Xenopus tropicalis: one gene and its partners. The protein of the gene in region 4 interacts with the protein of the main gene of each other region in a pairwise test. Links are inferred from orthologs where the notes say so. Each region holds a gene or a part of one and is shown on either strand. Other genes may lie near its edges.

Evidence for each region.
Region 1: the proteins of mrpl11 (region 4) and camk2d interact in binary tests that used the Homo sapiens proteins (3 or more experiments, as listed by UniProt). The two-hybrid records come from large-scale screens. The link is inferred for Xenopus tropicalis from reciprocal best matches to the Homo sapiens genes MRPL11 and CAMK2D.
Region 2: the proteins of mrpl11 (region 4) and tax1bp1 interact in binary tests that used the Homo sapiens proteins (3 or more experiments, as listed by UniProt). The two-hybrid records come from large-scale screens. The link is inferred for Xenopus tropicalis from reciprocal best matches to the Homo sapiens genes MRPL11 and TAX1BP1.
Region 3: the proteins of mrpl11 (region 4) and fsd2 interact in binary tests that used the Homo sapiens proteins (3 or more experiments, as listed by UniProt). The two-hybrid records come from large-scale screens. The link is inferred for Xenopus tropicalis from reciprocal best matches to the Homo sapiens genes MRPL11 and FSD2.
Region 5: the proteins of mrpl11 (region 4) and thap1 interact in binary tests that used the Homo sapiens proteins (3 or more experiments, as listed by UniProt). The two-hybrid records come from large-scale screens. The link is inferred for Xenopus tropicalis from reciprocal best matches to the Homo sapiens genes MRPL11 and THAP1.

Annotation. Positions count from the first base shown.
Region 1 is NC_030677.2:69,389,407-69,392,924, forward strand, and holds part of camk2d (calcium/calmodulin-dependent protein kinase type II subunit delta), read right to left. Parts: intron 3,407-3,518; coding exon 3,312-3,406; intron 2,934-3,311; coding exon 2,811-2,933; intron 1,740-2,810; coding exon 1,656-1,739; intron 1-1,655. UniProt on the Homo sapiens protein: Calcium/calmodulin-dependent protein kinase involved in the regulation of Ca(2+) homeostatis and excitation-contraction coupling (ECC) in heart by targeting ion channels, transporters and accessory proteins involved in Ca(2+) influx into the myocyte, Ca(2+) release from the sarcoplasmic reticulum (SR), SR Ca(2+) uptake and Na(+) and K(+) channel transport.
Region 2 is NC_030682.2:42,549,260-42,552,777, forward strand, and holds part of tax1bp1 (tax1-binding protein 1 homolog), read left to right. Parts: intron 1-1,030; coding exon 1,031-1,282; intron 1,283-3,518.
Region 3 is NC_030679.2:105,252,899-105,256,416, forward strand, and holds part of fsd2 (fibronectin type III and SPRY domain-containing protein 2), read right to left. Parts: intron 2,031-3,518; 5' UTR 1,986-2,030; coding exon 1,275-1,985; intron 1-1,274.
Region 4 is NC_030680.2:38,001,342-38,005,405, reverse strand, and holds the start of mrpl11 (39S ribosomal protein L11, mitochondrial), read right to left. Parts: upstream 2,819-4,064; 5' UTR 2,751-2,818; intron 1,766-2,750; 5' UTR 1,682-1,765; intron 260-1,681; 5' UTR 258-259; coding exon 135-257; intron 22-134; coding exon 1-21.
Region 5 is NC_030677.2:112,770,167-112,774,152, forward strand, and holds the start of thap1 (THAP domain-containing protein 1), read right to left. Parts: upstream 2,813-3,986; 5' UTR 2,632-2,812; coding exon 2,561-2,631; intron 1,787-2,560; exon of another isoform or gene 1,715-1,786; intron 1-1,714. UniProt on the Homo sapiens protein: DNA-binding transcription regulator that regulates endothelial cell proliferation and G1/S cell-cycle progression.

The DNA of each region.
Region 1 (3,518 bases), on a different chromosome or scaffold from region 4:
TTTAAATTTCACTGCAGAGGGCAATAATTTAGCTCCACCCCAGTGAAGTTTTCCCCCCCAGGGTGGTGCTAATTTTATGGAAAAAAAGGTTGCCTAGTACCCTGCCATTTTACTTACTATTCCCAGACATCTCTAGAGCAGATTTAGGACTGCAGTATATTAAAATCTGAAAATTGTTGGCACATATTGGGGGATATGTACTGGTACAGAGTATAACAATATGGAACTCCACAGGTCTCCTTATCACCATACACTGCTGATCTATAAACTATTGTGCTTAGTTTTGGAAACAGGTTAAATATGAGTCTGTTCCTACTATTAATTATAAAAAAATTGGAAACACAGAATAAAATACCCCTTACTAAGGTTTTATCTGCTCCTATTCCAGATTAAATAAAGGTCAATGTATTGCTGGCAAATGCTAGCCATCAAAAATCCCATACGTTAACAGAGCTTGAGATATATTAAGCAGCATTTGCTCTGTAAGTAGGCTTAAGATAGCCACTCTGTGGTGGTGTATTTCTTTATTGTGAACCGTGCATCACAATATTATAATAACTATTAGATTTAGTACGTAAGTTTAGGAAACTTACTTATCAACTCAAAATCTAAAACGATTTTGCCTGAAAGTGCATGTTTTTACTCCAGATATATATATATATATATATATATACACACAATATATTATTAATATATATGAATATAAATAATATATTTAATTTAGTTAACATGTTAATGATTTTAATGGAATTTGTAAATATAACTGCTGTTAAAAACAGTCAGAAACTACTTTTAATAGCAATTATAAAAAACTTTAAATACATTGAAATTTTGAAATGTATATAAAGCGGCTGTTTAAATTGCAAAAAGAATGTTTTTGGTTTGATAACCCATTTAAGGATCAAATGTAACTTTTTTTTTTAGGAAAAAGCAGATCTAACTGCTCACAAATGAACATGGATAACAAATGATAAGAAAGTGAAAGCTTTTTAAATGCAATGCTCATAAAACCTCAGATTTGCATTAAATGTGACACAAACGCTTGTCTTGATTATTTTTTCCCATTGCACACCCTATTCTTATGGGGTTATAAACATATTTCTTGGCCAATTAGAAGCATTTTATTACTAATAAAAAACAGCATTTGCAAAATAATCTTTATAACTTATTGGAACTGTACAAAGAGGCATTAAAGGTACAGTAAAGCACCTTGATCACCATGAATTTAATAAATAAGGCTTGTGTTGAAAATACTTTATCCAGATTTCATTATGAAAAATCTGTTTTCTTATTCTTTTTTTGAGGTTAACAATGAAAACAAAGGGTGAAGGGGTAAATTATTTATACAAAGCTTATTATAACTAATAAACCTAACTCAGCATCATTTTGCTCATGTTAATAATGCATATAGCTATTTACTGCCCCTTTAAACTTTTAATTTTATATTCAGAATCTTTTATATTTTGGAATCTTGTCCAATGGTGTCATTATGGATAACCTGCAAACTTACTGAGTAGAGAGTTCACTATAGTACTGTGTACAGTTAATCTACAAAGAATTCTAAGTAATGTATAATGTCACAAAAAGATTCGATTTGCAGTTTATACATTACTTATAATATTCTGTCTTAACACAAACAGTTTTCTCCTGTGTACCTTTAACTTTCTTCTTGCATTGAATTTCTTCAAGCAATCCACAGTTTCTTGTCTGTGCATCATGGAGGCAACAGTAGATCGTTGCTGGAAAGAAATTAGAAAAAAACACATAATAAAATTAATTAAATAAATAAAATGCTATTTTAAAAAGAATGTCTTTAGACATATTGCCCAATCATCCCAGCTTCACATCCTTTTTTACTAACGTTTTCCAGTAGCCTCTCAAACAGGAGCAATGACAGTTACTCCCTGACATATTTTCTCATTTGTCAGTTTAGGTTAACCCTATATATAATCTGCCTCTACACATCTAGTGTTTATAGGGAAGCTTATCAGCTATTTGCAATCTGCACTCTCTGGCTACTTCTTATCATGCTTATGGTTTTTTACCCAACAATCAATGGGTACTATGAAGGCCAAAACCATGTAGGTGAATTCTACTGCACACTGCTAGGGTTTTTTTAAATAATCAAATGGGCTTCCCTGAGTTGGAAGCGCTGTATTATATTGCTTTTTCATAGTTTGTGTCTCAGCCCCATATCTTCCAGACTTATCTTATTTGTCACTCGTGGTAAATCTGTGCTAATGCAGGCACCAAATCTTGTGAGGATCTGAGAGTTAATCACATTTATTTACTAATAGCAAGAAGAGGGTATTTCTAATTGAGAAAAATGAATCTAGCAGCTGCATTCAGATGTATTAAATAATAACATTTTAAACAGACAGTCTACCAACAAGTGGAAATTAGAAGGTAATATTTTAGTGTACACCATCCTAAAACAAAATAAAATCTTGTATGCAGAAGATGTACATTGACAAAGACTTGCTTACATTGTCCATAACAGTATCAGACAGAATGTACAGTGTGCTTGCATTTCTAGTCAGGTTGAACAGAACTATTTGAACCTTACAGATATATGCAGCTGCTGCTATTGCTATATGGAGCACAGAGGCAACATTTTGCATTCCAATCATTCTAGTTATTTCTCTTCTGTAAAGGCAATGTAAACTTTTATAACAGATATGCAATTTTGATAGTTACTCTAATATACAAGCAAGATCTAAGCAATAATAACTGATTAACATTTTGTCAATAAAATTGTAAGCAACCCAGAGAAGATATCTAGTAGCATAAAGTTCTGAAGAGAAACTTACACAGATCCAAGGATGTCTGAGTGCTTCCGCAGCTGTGATGCGCTTGGCTGGATTGATCGTGAGCATTTTGTTTATAAGGTCTTTGGCTTCAGGAGTCACTGTATCCCACTCAGGAGATGGAAACTAAGTATTTTAAAAAAGAATGAGTAGTTCATAAAGGGTTGTAAATCTTGCATACAAATAAAATCTGTAGAAAAATTACCACTTTTCTCAATTGTTCTAATATTTTTTTTATTTTTCTGTCGACCTTGCTAAAGGTAATTCTTGTGTAAGAATGTTTATAAATAAAACATTTTCTATCACCTTAAGCATGCTTCTTATATTCTTCCTTAAATAGCAACAGAAGTTGAATATATAAAATAACTTGGTCAAAAGAATAATAAAAACCTGACCTAAAAAACACAGTGGGAATATTGTATTCTTTATGCATAAGCTCACATATTTTCCATGCATACAGCTTCTGTTTTTCTTTTTAGTTTGGGAAATGAGCCATACACTTACATCATAAGCACCAGCCTTAATCTGCTGATAAAGCCTATGTTGGTCCTCATCCCAGAAAGGTGGATAGCCAACAAGAAGGATGTAGAGAATGACACCTGAATGGCAAACACAGTTTTCATTGTAAGAAAATATTCAACAGATTACAGTAAATATTTCTGCTGCTTTTGCTATGTGGTTTATTTTTTTATTATTATTATTTCCTTTCGC
Region 2 (3,518 bases), on a different chromosome or scaffold from region 4:
TTAATTATATTTTTTAAAAATTAGAATTATTTGCTTATAATGGAGTCTATGGCACATGGCCTTTCCGTAATTCGGAACTTTCTGGATAACCAATTTCCGGATAAGGGATTCCAACCTGTAGTCCTATTTGATGGCTCAATTTTCCCCCAGACAGAAATAATAAGGGCATGGTTGTTGGTCTTCTACCCAGGCATTAGGCATTTAATCTGCTTCTTTATAAGAGAACTCTTCCAAAACAAAATGTGTTAAACAGCCCAAATTACAATCATGAAAACAATCAAGAAATGATCAGAAAAAAAGTTTTTTTAGAAAGTTCTGAATTATGGGAAGGCTATCTCCCATAGACTCCATTTTAGTTCACATTTTTAAAAATGATTTCTTTTTTCTCTGTAAAAATAAAACCATACCTTATACTTGATCCCAAATAGGATATAATTAATCAATATTGGAGGTAGAATTTTCCTACTGGGTATATTTAATGTTTAAATATTTTTTTAATAGATTTAAAGTATGGAGACCCAAATTACAGAAAGACCCCCTTATTTGGAAAACCCCAGGTCTTGGTCCTATACCTCTATACTGAAAAGTTGCTTAAAATTATGTTTATTTTCAGAAAGCTTAAGTTGTGTTTGGGTGGAGTTCCCCTTTAACATTCATGCCATTAAATCTTATGTTTTTGTATTTTTATGGGATGTATTTGTATTGTATATAAAAACAGATTTGTTGACAGATAACCAGACAGTTTACTGTATGGGCCATGAATGTATCTCAAATAGTTTGAGCCTTTATACAAGGGTATCTTAATTAAGATACTCGTCACTGCAGATTTCACACATTCAATAAAAATGTTAATCAAAAAATACCGTATAAAACCGAAAACACTTCTTATCAGCTTATGACAAGTAATGATTTGAACTGTATGGTCTTTGCATACTATGCTGTTGTGCAACTGTTATATAATGCAATGCTTTTGTTTTATTTTATTTGCTTAATCTGATTTGATCTTATTTTGTTTTAAATATTTTATAAGGAGGATATCGCCTTTTTAAAGCAACAGCTACGAAAATTGGAGGATCAACACCAAGCCAGCAGACAAGAAGTCTCTTTAATGTCTAGGGAATTGAGTGAGGCAGTAAATAAACGTGATAAAACCATGGCCGATCTCCACTCAGCCCGTCTTGACACAGACAGTGTGAGGATGCAACTGGCTGATGCTTTGGCTCAACTAAGTATGCGAGATGAGCAACAGCAGAAGTCCAACCCTTTTGCTAAAAAGGACCAGGTAAAACAGACAGAAAAGACAAATATTCATTCAGATTCACCAGTCCGAAAGTAGCAAGCACTTAAATGAATTGGGGTCTCCAGTAGTAATGTCAAATACGCTTGGATGTAACTTGTAATTAGTTTGGGTGTGACTTGTAATTTGCAGGTTATTGCTTAGTTGGTTCTGGTTGATAATTTAGAATATCCTCCTTACATAGTTAATGTGAGTTGAAAAAAGACAAAAGTTCAACCCCTCCAAATGGCCCCCAGTGCATATACACATACCTATAAAGACCTAACAATATACAAAAAAAAAAAATTATATATATATATATATCTGTTCCAGTAACGGCACTCACCAATCGCAAGCCACACGCCGGGTGCTCACCAAACGTATTCACATAGCTGCAGCAGAAAGCACTCACGGCTCCGATTTGTGCAAAAGTATCAAAAGTTTTATTGCTCCACGCTCACATGATGTGAGCGTGGAGCAATAAAACTTTTGATACTTTTGCACAAATCGGAGCCGTGAGTGCTTTCTGCTGCAGCTATGTGTATGTGTGTATATATATATATATATATATATATACCTCACTGTCCTCGGAGTTGAGAAGTTGACCAGTTATGGAAAATCCTCAGAGTGCTGACATTTATTCCATTTGAAGATTGCTCTGCTCTAGCACCAAGGTATAGAAAATCTTTTTTGGAGTGCTCCCTATTTTGGACTTTGTATTTTCAGATGGTTGTTTTCAGCTTTCTGAGGGTAAGCACCCACCTCTATTTTTCCGACTTTAAAGGAATTTTTATGGCCCTTCCTTTGGGCCGTCTACATGCAATATTTTGAAGTTTTCTGTTTGTCCCCATTTCTTGCTTGATCATTGGTGAAATTACGGAACTAAAACGATAACACGCATTTCTTCTGAACACACTGATTTACCTACATCGCTCACCCCTACTACCCACTGGCTAATGGAAGGCAGCGGCTCGCAACTAACATTTGAAGTTGATACTAGCACGGACTTCACCTTCACCCCACAGGATGCAGACAAAATTCTGTTTACTGAAACTCCATTGGACATTGCTACAAACAAACCTGATATCGATATATACCATGATCTACTAAATTTGAAGAAGAAGGAGTTAGACCTTCAACTACACGGTATCTATCTCTCTAACTATCATAGACAAAGACTTATCCCACGGGGTTTTAGGATTAATAACATCCCCACCATTGGTCGCAGTAACCCAGAGTTTTGCAGTAAGTGGTGCGGTATATTGAACCATTGCTCATTTGACCTGCTATTGCTAGTGGTAGAACAAGTTGGGAAGGAACTGGTATCTATACGGGCAGACATTAACACATTAGAGCTACAGCACCTAGAATCCCTCAGGGCAGACACTACTTCCGACTGGATACACAAACTACAAACAAATATTGACAAATACAAACAAGATCTAACTAATTTCAAACAGAAAAAACTACACAAAGTGGCAGATGACTATAAACACAAGAGGGTTTATGGGTGGCTATTGGGTCTAAGACCAGGCGACCAAGGAAGGAGACCTATTAGACGTAAAAGACTCCCCAGATCCCTAGCAACTGTAGACAGTTCGGATCAGTCTACTGACTCGGACACTGGGAACACCAACAACCCTGGCAATAGGCCTTTTTTAGGGGTGACCACAAGATCAAAGAAAGAAGGAGGAGACCTACCAGGAGAGGGGGTCACAAGTGTAAGGGGGAAGCCTCCAAAGGGGAAGAAAACATAGTTTTCAATTTGAGCAGACATATCCTCACACCGGGTGAGTCCTCATTATTGTGCAAGGGTCTTTCCTTTGTACCTAGCACTATACCCAATACATTTGATACTTCAGTAGACATTTACAAGTTTCAGAGGAAACTTAGGCTGAAAGAACACTTTAGAAACACACCTAGGGATACACAACCCCCCTTTAGGGCTAAAAGCCACTTTGAGCCCCCTAATACCCCAGCGGCAGTACGTACTTTCGGTAAAGTTCTTAATTTAGAAGCCAAAGCTATGGCTAAAAGTACACGGTCCTATCCCAATCTATCAATAGCAGAACGCCGAGCGATTAAAACTCTCCAGGAGGATACAAACTTAGTAATTAGGCCCGCAGACAAGGGTGGGTCCATTGTACTATTGGATTATGGTTACTACAGGGATGAACTGTTAGGACAATTGAGAGACTCTACCACATACAAACTTCTCCCGGGGGACCCCACTAGCAAATTC
Region 3 (3,518 bases), on a different chromosome or scaffold from region 4:
TATAACTCCCTAATCATTCATTTAACCACTTCACTTGAACACCTTTAAAGTGATACTGACACTAAAAAATGACTCCTCAAAATATGAATCTACATAAAAAGTTGCCTATAGGTCATGTTGATTGATTTTCGCTGAGAGATTTGCTTTTGTAAATAATTGTTACTTGAAGTTCCTAAACCTGACTGTTTTGCCAACCTGTCTGTCCCTCCTCACCCTGTCAGTTACAGCTTCTAATGCTAACGGCCTCCTGCTGCACAAATATGGCAGCCCCCTCAGAGGAACATGGGGGATCAGACAGGTAATATAAAAGCATTGGGCAAATACTTTTATGGCAAAAATGAAGGTCATGCAAAGACAATGTGGTTATGATAGATGTAAAAAAAAGTTTAATTTCTGGTGTCAGTATCTCTTTAAGATTTTTCTAGAGCTGAACTGATTCTCATCTACAACCTATAGGGGCACATTTACTAATCCACGAATCTGAATAGGAAAAATTCGGATTGGAAACGAACATTTTGCGACTTTTTCGTAAATTGTCGCGACTTTTTCGTAGCCGTTACAACTTGCACGAATTGTCGCGACTTTTTGTAGCCGTTACGATTTGCTCGTATATTGTCGCGACTTTTTCGTATTGAGCGCTCGTAAACGTCGGGCAAAACTTTCAGTCTTTGCATGATTTTGGAAGCCTCCCATAGGACTCAATGGCACTCTGCCGCTCCAACCTGGCCCAAGGAAAGTCTCCCATAGGACTCAATGGCACTCTGCAGCTCCAACCTGGCCCAAGGAAAGTCACGATACTGAAGCTTGAATGAATCCGAAACTTTCGTACTCGGCGCGACGGCTACGAAAAATTTACTAAAAAATCGCAAAATACCGATCATTACGAAAAAAACGCATTCGGATGCTTTTCGGACGTTCATGGATTAGTAAATGTGCCCCATAGTGTTCCCCAATTTTCTAAAACATCTCTTTATGGCAGCATGCCTAATTTATTACTATTTATCTATTATTTATTTCATAACAAACCAATTACCAATTGAATTTCACTGCTTTAACCACTTTTTCCACTAAAGTTCACTATGTCAATGTTACACCTCTTTCACCTTCTTGTATAAAACTGTAAGCTGTAACTATCAGCGTTACAATTTTGTATTGCTTTTAATACTTACTTTGTATGGTTTGTTGAAGATACCCTACTCTTATTTAAGAGAAATGTGTTTATATAAATATGTTTATAAATTGATAATAGTAACACCCCCTTTATTTATTCTTACTTTCTTTTGTTCAACAGCAGCGGTTATGCCCATGACCTCATGATCCTTGTGTACACCAAACAGCTTGTCAAAAGCTTTAACTGGGGTTTTGCATGTGATACAGTAAATGTCAGGGATATAATTTTCTTCAGAATCTACGCATCCTCCATCTTTTTCTGGTGCTTTAGTTTGATGATGTCCAAGCTGACCACTTTCATTGGAAAGATGGCTGCCATTCTCATCCAGCACACTACTTTTAGGGGAACTGTTCTCTGTCTTTGTGCCTGTTTCTGTATTTTGGTTTTGGCTTATTTTATTAGAGGTCTCAATACTTTTATTTCGTTTGAGCAATTTTTTTTCTCTTTTGGGGGCAGTGGGTTTATGAAAAATTGTTTCTGGGTTTTTGTAAGGCACGCTTGTTAAAAACGGTTGTTCATCTTTTTCTTTATCATCAGAAATTCCATACTGTTTGGCCAAGTGATCCACTTCCTTTTGCAGATCTGAATGGATTTGTTCAGCAGTAGTAGACAAATCTTGCTTTGCAATGTGTGGCTTTTTTTCCTCAGAAAGTTCCTGTTTAGGAAAGATGGTCAGTTTGTCTGGAGAATCATACAAATCTGTGTGATAAAAAGTCAGGCTCTCTGATTTCTCTTTTGTAGACTCATCCTGTCCTTCTGCCTCTTCCACAATTGTGTCCAAGTCCTCTGGGATATCCAGTTTATTAGCATCCATTGGTCACAAAGTTATTCTCGTAGTTAGATTCTACTTTGGCAAAGCCTGTTAAATAATAAATTAAACAATGTTTAAACAACAAAGGGAAAACTATGTACAAAGTATTATTTACATTATCAGTGCTAATACTTGAACATTTATTTATTTTATGGTAATTAAATATATATATATATATATATATAGTGCAGTGAGGATCACCTCACTGATTTAGAGGTGCTAGAGGTGTTTTTCCCACTAAATTTATTTCACAAAACTAGACTCACTGTGGAAAGAGAGAAAATATCATCCCTCTGAAATGCAAAACATTTTTGGATTTCTATTTGCATATAATGAGACAATAAATAGACTAAACATCATCCTTCACTATAAGGGCCTTGGTAGATGGGGAGATTAGTCGCCCGCGACAAATCTCCCTTGTTGCAAGCGACAAATCTCTCCAATATGCCATCCCACCAGCTTGAATGTAAATTACCTTAGGGATGGCATATGCAGTGCCACGATTTCCCGAAATCGTGGAAGTTGCCCTGAGAGGAAACTTCCGCAGTTTCGGGAAATCGTTGCGCTGCATATGCCATCCCACCGGCGATTTACATTCAAGCCAGTGGGATGGCATATCGGGGAAATTAGTCGCCCGCAACAAGGGAGATTTGTCGCAGTCGACTAATCTCCGCGTCTACCACAGCCCTAAAGATGTAATAGATTGGTAGGAGAAGGACCCGGTAGTTGGAGAAGATAAGCTAATATTCTGACACTGCTGGCCAAGAAGGAGAGCTCTGTTATGGCTGTGGAAACAGTAGAAATCCATCCCACACCAGAGAGAAAAGAGACACAGGAAAGTAGATATAATCAAAAGATACAGTCAAGATCAGGAAAGGGCAAGGACAGAAAGTCTCTAAATAAGCAAAACATTATAATCAAGAAGATAGTGCTTTTGGGTCCTCACTTACAGTATACCCCCTCCTCCTTTAGAAGTACCCACCGAGCATGTGACTTAAAAGAAAGGTGACAATGTTTTTCAGCAGCCCAGTTTTTACAAGAAGACAAAGCCTGGTGTTACTGAAATTTCAAACCAGTTATTTAGCATCAGGGACATCAACTTTGAAATAAAAGGAAGAACAGAAGATTTAGGCTTTAGACATATAAAAATATGAACAATCCATACACTTCTCATGAAAATTATTGTGGGAAAACTCAGCCACATGAAAAAGCTCCTCACAATGATCTTGATTCTTGGAATAAAACAAAAATACGTTCAAGAAGCTGGGAGGCTGGTATGTTTTTTCAGGATGACTGTTTCTTGAGGAACAGCCGCACAACTGCATATTGATTCTCAGCTTAGAAAAGACTCCCAAAAACAAGACAAATTTCTTTACATTAAAATTCTATTACTGTAGTGTTCCTTATCTGTTCTATTCATGCATTATTTAAATGTGCAATATGCAAGAAATTATACATACATAATATAAATTGATATAAATAAAACTATACATACATTTTCTGATAAATATTTGGGCAAGTTCAGATGCAGGAGTA
Region 4 (4,064 bases):
CTGGCCAATGGGGATACCTCGCTAAACAGGAATGCAGAAAAAAGTAAGAGAGGTTACAAAATTCCAGTCTGGAGACATTGCAAAGAGGAGATTTTCCTACTGCCGAACAGGAGTATTCAAAATGCAGCAGTTACCTGTCCCAGGATGGGTCCAAGCGGTGGTCCAGGAGCTGCCTGCCCAGCTCTCACCAGTGCTCGAATCATGCCGGCAACATTGGCTTTCTTTACAGTTTTTACTGCACGTGAAGCTTTTGACATAACTAAGGGAGAACAAAATTTTTTATTGTAAACCAGAATAACAAAAAGTTTTAATAAGACACTGCTAAAGTGGGAGCGATTCCTACTAAATATTTGCCCCTACTCTATGCTCCATTAAACTACACTTCATTGTAAATGATAATGCATCTAGTTTCCTGTGCTGGCTGCTGCTCTATTATCAATCTAAACTGCTTTTTTTCCCCCAAATGTTAAATAGTTATCAGTGTAAATCTGGCCAACATAAATTCCTTATTCATACAACCTTTCGATTACCTTTATCCTAACACAACATGCTTTACTATCATTGAAGTTGTTAGCTCTACTTTCAGTAGCAGTAGTTGTTGCACAGTTGCTAACAGAAAGAAGTTTTTGACCATATTTTGTCCCATGGCAAGCATTTCTTTATATTATGACCAAAACACACGAAACAAATTTTGGTGCATAGAATTTTGTTAAAATACATACATTGCACACAACAGATTAAAGGGGACATTGCCCTGACCTGTTTTCAGCATTACTGCATTTTCCATAGTGATTCTGATATACAGAGGGAGTTTCAGAGATTAAATAAATGACAGCACTGGCACTTGCTTCATTTGTATAGCATTTCAGATTATTTAAAATGTTATTTCCTCCATAAAATACTGTAATCAGGGTCAGCTGTAGAAATATTTCTGTTAAACTGCCATGTCTCATATAGGGCAGCCCTAGAAAATATAAATCTGCTTTACTTTGGCTAAAGCTATCATAGAACATATAGTTTTCAGTGCAGAGGCAAGAAGCAGATCTAGAGACAGATCATGAAGTAACAGTGATGTGCAGGCTGGCAAAAAGCTGACCAGTAGCCAACCCTGCCAACCCACCTGACCATAACCCTCTGTATTTATAGACCTGCACCCGACCTGCCCCTCTCTGACAGGGCAAAAAATGGCAGGGCACACAGAGTCGAATTTATAAATACTAACATCTGGAGGCAGAGATGGGGCATAGTAAGGTCATAGGCAGGGTGGACACATGGTAAAGTGCAGCCCAAACCCATCCACAAAAGTTGTGTGGATGTTGGCTTGTGGGTCCCACAAGTTCAGGCCAGCACATAACTAAGAAGGTCATAAACTCCTGCAAACATCATAAATGGTGTCTGTCTAGTTTGAATGAGTTACAAAATCATTTTAAATCCCAAATGAAATCAGAGACATATTTTTCAAATGAGAAATAGTTCTTCCTAGGAGTGAAAGTACTCGCACAGTCTTGGCCAAAGGAACATGTTGTGAATTCACAAAAGAATCTTAAAAAGTATCTGCAGATCTGCAGGCCTTTCTCTTCTCAGCTTAGTGTCATGTCTGCAGACAGATTATTTGAAATAATGAGATCTGTTGCAGAAAAGCAAGGACAACACTCACTAGAAAGAAGAAGCGAGCACTCACCTCACGTCTGCCAAAATGCACCTGAATAAGTATGAAGCAGTCAGGGAACAATGGAACAAGATAAATACTAATGGGTCTCTGGGGCTGTAAGGGGAAAAAATCAACAGTCAAGAATGGCAGTTGCATATAATGGTGCAAGTATTACAAATAATTTATTCAATCAATTCTGTTCTGCGGGAGAGTTTTATACAGCAGAATTCCCATCTGGGATCTTAGGCACCAATAATATAATAATTCAAAACACAAAAATAAATCTATACCAAAAATGTAAATGATCTGTAATTGTTTCTAAAGGGGTATTAAAGCTTAATAAAGAAGTAGGGTAGAAATACTGCAGACTATTTTGTGGGTTTCTGTACCAGCCCAAGGCAACCACAGCCCTTTAGCAGGGAAGATCTGTGCCCCCAAAGATGCCCCAGTAGCTCCCCATCTTCTTTTCTGCAAATTCCCTGCACATGCTCTGTGCTGCTGTCACTTACTGAGCTTAGGGACTGACTTAGAATATAGTGTGTGTATAAAATTCAGAATAAAAGGCTCATAAGTAATTAATACATATTTTAGGTGTGCATACCCCATTGTAGAAGCAGAAGGAATGCTTGGGAAACACTTGTACGATGACAACACAGAATACACCAGCCAATATAAACTGTCAATTCTGTCCTTCCAGACCAAGTTGGCAGATTATCGGCCTGTGTATAGGGCCATCTGAAAGGCCTGCCCAACCAATGTCTGGTCAAAAATCTGCCAGATAATAATAGGGCAGGATTCAAAATACCACTGGGGCTAAACTATAAGATCTGTATGGGCAGCTTTAGTTAGAAAGATAAGGGGAGGCATGAATCCGAATTTCCCTGAAATCCCAGGACCTGAGGGACCATTACCACATAAAACAGCATTATTACAGAACAGGGGGCAACTAGCAGTCCCACACGGAAACATGCCTGGGGTCTAAAGGCACTTATGCTATATGACATTTCGGGGACCACAGGCCATAAAGCACTGAATTTCCAGCTGTCTCGAACTTATTGCCATGCACACTCAAGCTACATCTACTTGTACAGCTGCTTACCGTCCCCTCAGTAAGTCAGTACTCTGCAGGAACACGGCACCACTTTATGTCAGTCCTCTTGCACTCCCCTTACGACCTTCATAAGCAGCTCTCCATAAGCACGCAAGCTCATTTCGCTTTACCCGATTGGCTTCTCGGACTTTCTATTACGCTTGTACCATTGGTAGACATACTTGCCAATCACACTCGATCTGTGCTGCCATTGGATAAGCTTAGAGCCTTGAATACCGCTCGCCGATTGGATGACTGCGTTTCATTCTTACTTCAGTACCACTATCTGGGAATTTCATTGAATAGCAGTGACTTTGCTTCTTCACTGAATGGGTAAGGGCAGGCGTTACGTATACATGTGGGCGGAACCACAGCAAGCGTGGTTGGTGCTGTAACCCGGAAGTCTGGTCGTTTCAATTTTTGTCAAAATCCTGAACAGGTGAGGAAATTACATTGTTCGTATTACTTGTAGGAGCTCTAATCATTTGAATGAACAAGGATGGCGAGTTTACAATAAAAAATCATTTTAAATGGTCGCTATCAGTATTTTGAGTCTAAATAGTCCCCCAATGTAAATCAATCAGGGACTGTGATTAATTATAGTACTATAATTCACATAGACGCAGCCTATGTATTTCATAAGTGCTATTAATATCTTGATTTTTAAATATGTATGCAAAAAATAGGGATGCACTGCACCCATCATTTTTGGATTTGAACAGTTACCAAATTGTCCACAAAAGGTTCTTCTAAATAACCAGCCAATTGTAACCCCAATTTTACAACCCCAAGACTGTGCCAAACTGAGAACTGATTTTAGGTATGAAAAAAATGCTTAATTGTGAACAAACCAATAGTAAAAGAAAATGTAACTTTACTTTCCATTATACATTATCATTTTTTCCGGTTATATGCAGATGTAATTGCAGTGCAGTGTAACCTTAAAGTACATGTAAAGCCTAAATTTGCCTACAGTGTATATCAGTTGGGCACATCTCCCCCACCCAAACAGCATACACACACACAGACCCTTATTCAGCATACATTTCATCAAGAATACAGGCTCACACAGGCACAACTGTCTCTGATAAAAGTTCTGCTTTGTTCGAGCTGAGCTCAGGAGAGGAGGTTAGGAAAAAGAAATAGAGCTGAGTTACTATAACCACCAATGCCATCTCTTCATTGGCTGCTAGACTGGGGGGTGTGTTTAGTAATCTGAGTTTAGAACAATTGAGCATGTCTGGCAAGCCAGGAATCAAAGCAAATTACTGAGGGGGGGGGGGGGTTACAGGAGAAGAAGGAAATCCAAGTGATTAAGGAGAT
Region 5 (3,986 bases), on a different chromosome or scaffold from region 4:
TAAGCCGAGGTACCTAATTTTACCTAAGAAAATTGGAAAAACTTATTGACTCGAGTATAAGCCTAGGCATCCATTTCTTTTAACACACCTGCACAAAACGCTATCATCATCATGGAAGATAGAGAAAACATTGCAGATGAGAAAATAATATATTAATAAAATAGATAAATAAATTGGGCATTTTCTCCACCTGTGTATTTCGGCCAGCTGAGAAGCATCCAGAACCACCCTTGCGTTTGACAAAACAACATACTGTATATCCAGTCTCTCAAACACTCAAAATGACCGGCCATAAGAAAACTGGCTTGTGTTAAGCCACCTTAGTTTGTGCAACATTATTGTATTTAATTAGCCCTGGTAATGCAAAGACTTTAGAGCAGCTGCTTTTTAGGTATATCAGGGGAGAAAATGATCAGTGTCTGTTTTTAGGAGGCAAAAATTGGAAAGCAGTGCACACGTTATCCTATACTCATAGTAACACATATCGATCACAGTTCCTATTTAACCCATTAGGTTTCTTAGTAATAATTCACTGTCAACCATTGCCTAAGAGGGAGGACATGTTCCAAAAATCATGAACCTTAAGTCTGAGGCAGGAGGTGTAAAGTGAGCAGCTGTCAGCCTGTGTACAGTCTATGTGTGTCAGTCTGTGTATCCCTGCTGCCTAAGGGCCTGTCTCTGTGGCAAAACTCAAAATATCAAAGCGAACAACTTAATATGCCCTTACCTTGTAGTTGACCCATGTTGCAACTCTGAGTTCTTTTAAATGCCCTTTTGTGCTGTTGACTTACTCTATTTCATTGATCCAGCACCGATCCAGCACCTCGCCAGCCATCGGGCGCCAGCCATCATGCTGTAACCGGGCATTCGTCGCGCACAACATATCACGTACCTTTCCAGCAATCGGGCGCGATCGCATGCACGTATCCAGCACCAGGCATCCGCGCACACATGTCACGCGCACGGGGGGATGCATGCGATTGCGACGGATGCCCAGTGCTGGATATGAAATAGAGTAAGTTGCGCGCCGATGGCTGCCGAGGTGATGGATCAATGAAATAGAGTAAGTCAACACTCGCAAGCATGCGAGCGCATATGTCCAGGGTTGGGCGGTGTGAGCAAGCGAGCGCACGGCCGGGAGAACGTATATACTCGAGTATAAGCCGAGGGTGCCTTTTTGAGCACATTATTAGGGCTGAAAAACTCGGCTTATACTCGAGTATATACGGTACTAACAATGTTCTTAAAAAGTCAAATATTTATTCAATTTAAATTTTAAAATAAGACATTAAAACAAATTATTGCAAAGTAAGAAAGTATGGAGTATATTATTTCAATTGCGGCTTCCTCAATTCAGACATTTTAATCCCAGTGCTAAAAGTGTTAACAGTTAAATTAGATTCTTGCCACATTGATCACAGAATCAAGAACAGTCTACAGCATTGCTGAGCAACATCTGAAGTTTCAGGGGTCTCACACTGAACCCAGACATATCAAAAGGACTGCAGGTTAGATTTGATGTTGGTAATGAGCACACTACACTACAATACATTTTAATAAATGCAACATACTCATACTGAAGGGCTGAATATAGCCCCCATGGCCAACTGCAAGACAACAGCAGGGATCTAAATGATTGGTTAATTAGCCATAAAGAAGATGCATACATAAAAGCAGTGGCGTAACTACAAGGGGGTGAAATGCACCCCTCTAGGCCCACCAGAGAAGCAAAATGGAGGAGTTTTCCATCATGTGACTACGCCGCTGTTGAATAAGTGTACCCAAGGTTAGGTATGCTACTGCATAAAAGGCAACTTTTACAGCAACAATATAATAATGGAAAATATATGTATTTCTCTTTAACAGGGTGTTACAATTCAGAAAAAAATCCCTTTCCTTTTTTCCCTACCCATACCCTAACTGGAATGCGATGTTCCTAAGTGATATTATCTTAACTTATGAATAGGCTTGATACCCAAGGGGTATTTTAGCAGTATGATACATTACTTTGTGCAAATGCTTTTTAAGATTATTATTGAATAGGACATACTTTTTATTTGTTTAAATTAACAAATATTTATGGGTTTGGGTTTTCTTTTATTTAACATAGGCACTGAGAGCTTAAATTTGCCAAGTCAATGTTGGAGAAGGAGAAGGCTGTGTAACATACAACTGTTTCACAGATAAACCCTATGTACAGGGGGAATATTTTCTGACAAGTTTCACTCAGATAACATGCACAATTGTGGCAATTTTTACCAGAAAAAAAGGCAAAAGCGTTAAATATACCAGTCCACATATTTATATGATAAAATAAAAATGAGGTAAAATCACTCTTCCCCTTCTTAGGTCCATTTATTTCAAAGTTTGAACAACTGGATGCAGCTCACACACAGTAACACAAGGCGAGGCCGCGCACTCCCAGCCCCTGACCACGTGGTATCGGCAGGCGCCTAGCATTAGAACAAGCACCGAGCTTCGCGCATGCGTCTCTTGCTTTCAGGGGACCGAGAATACTATCCAGCTAAATATTACCGGGCAAAGCGCAAAATGCACTCACTTGTGAAAAGAGATGGGTTTATCCTTATCGTAGCGATTCTTGCAACCGTAAGCCGAGCACGATTGCACCATGTTTTCCGACGCGCCCAGTTTCTTCTGCTACAGACGGTACCGCCTTATTGCACCTTGAAAAGCGCGACGGGTTTTCCGTAGATTGCTTTAATTTCTCGATCTGGTGTATCGCTGGCTACCGAGTTGACAGCACCACCGAATTAATTTACAATAATTTTGCAGAGACTGTTGGTGAATTGCGCTCCTCCCGGCTCCAAGATGGCTGACAGCGCTTCAGGTCGGCGTCACGTTCGCTGAGCGGGAGCTGGACTACGATTTGCGAGGGTGTACCACGTGGTGCAATATTTGCTCCGCCTATTCTTATGTTTACGTCTAATTGATTTAGCCAGCCGGGGTTTCTTTATATTTCTGTAGAAAATGAGTAGGTTACTCGGAAGGTGTGAGTATATGTAGGATTCAAAGGATTTTATTCGACGTATTTGTTTTAGTAATCAGAAGCGTAACAAGGGCTTGCGACTTTGTACCTTTATATGATCATTAAACACATGTATGTCTTTCAGTACCCTTATTTAGTTGGCGTGTATTATTGATTAGCGAGAACAGGTTAATCGGTTCGTAATCAGCCCGCTTGTGCGCTAGTTAAAAGTGGTAGGGAAGTTGGATTGTAAGCGCCACTATGTACGAGTTGGTGTGAATGAAAAACAATCTCTCTAGCGCTGCCCAACTTGTGGGTGCTGTATGAGTAGTATGTCTGTAATGTTACCTGTGTGTAACGAGAAACAATGCTCCAAAGGTGGGAAGGCATACTTGGCCTCCTGCAGGTAACTTTGGGAAAGGAAGTGCTTTTTGTGGAAAGGCATTTCCTGGAGACTAGTTACCCACAGTAGCTGAGATTTAGTGCAGTGGCACAAGGGGAAATTAGTCAGATTTTTGTTGCCGCGGGTAACCTCCCCGCAAAGCCATCCCACCGGCAAGAATGTAAATCGCCAGTGGGATGGCATACGTGTCGCTACGATTTCACCCAAAGTACTTAGGGCAAGTTCGGGAAATCGTAGCAACGCATATGCCGTATTGTTGCGGGGCAACTAATCTCTTAGTCTGCCACTGCCCTTAGGGCTCTGGCACACGGGGAGATTAGTTGCCCGCGACAAAACTCCCTGTTCGCGGGCGACTAATCTCCCCAGATTGCCATACCACCGGCGAAAATGTAAATCGCCGGTAGGATAGCATACACGGCAGCGGTGGGATGGCATTTCGGGGAGATTAGTCGCCCGAGACACAGGAGATTTGTCGCGGGCGACTAAGGGCCAGAGCCCTTAAAGTGCACCAATTGCCCCTATGTTGTTTCCCCCACCTGAGGTGCAGCCTAATAGAGCCCATGCTCCGGATAGGGGAAACAATAGTTTTTCCACTGC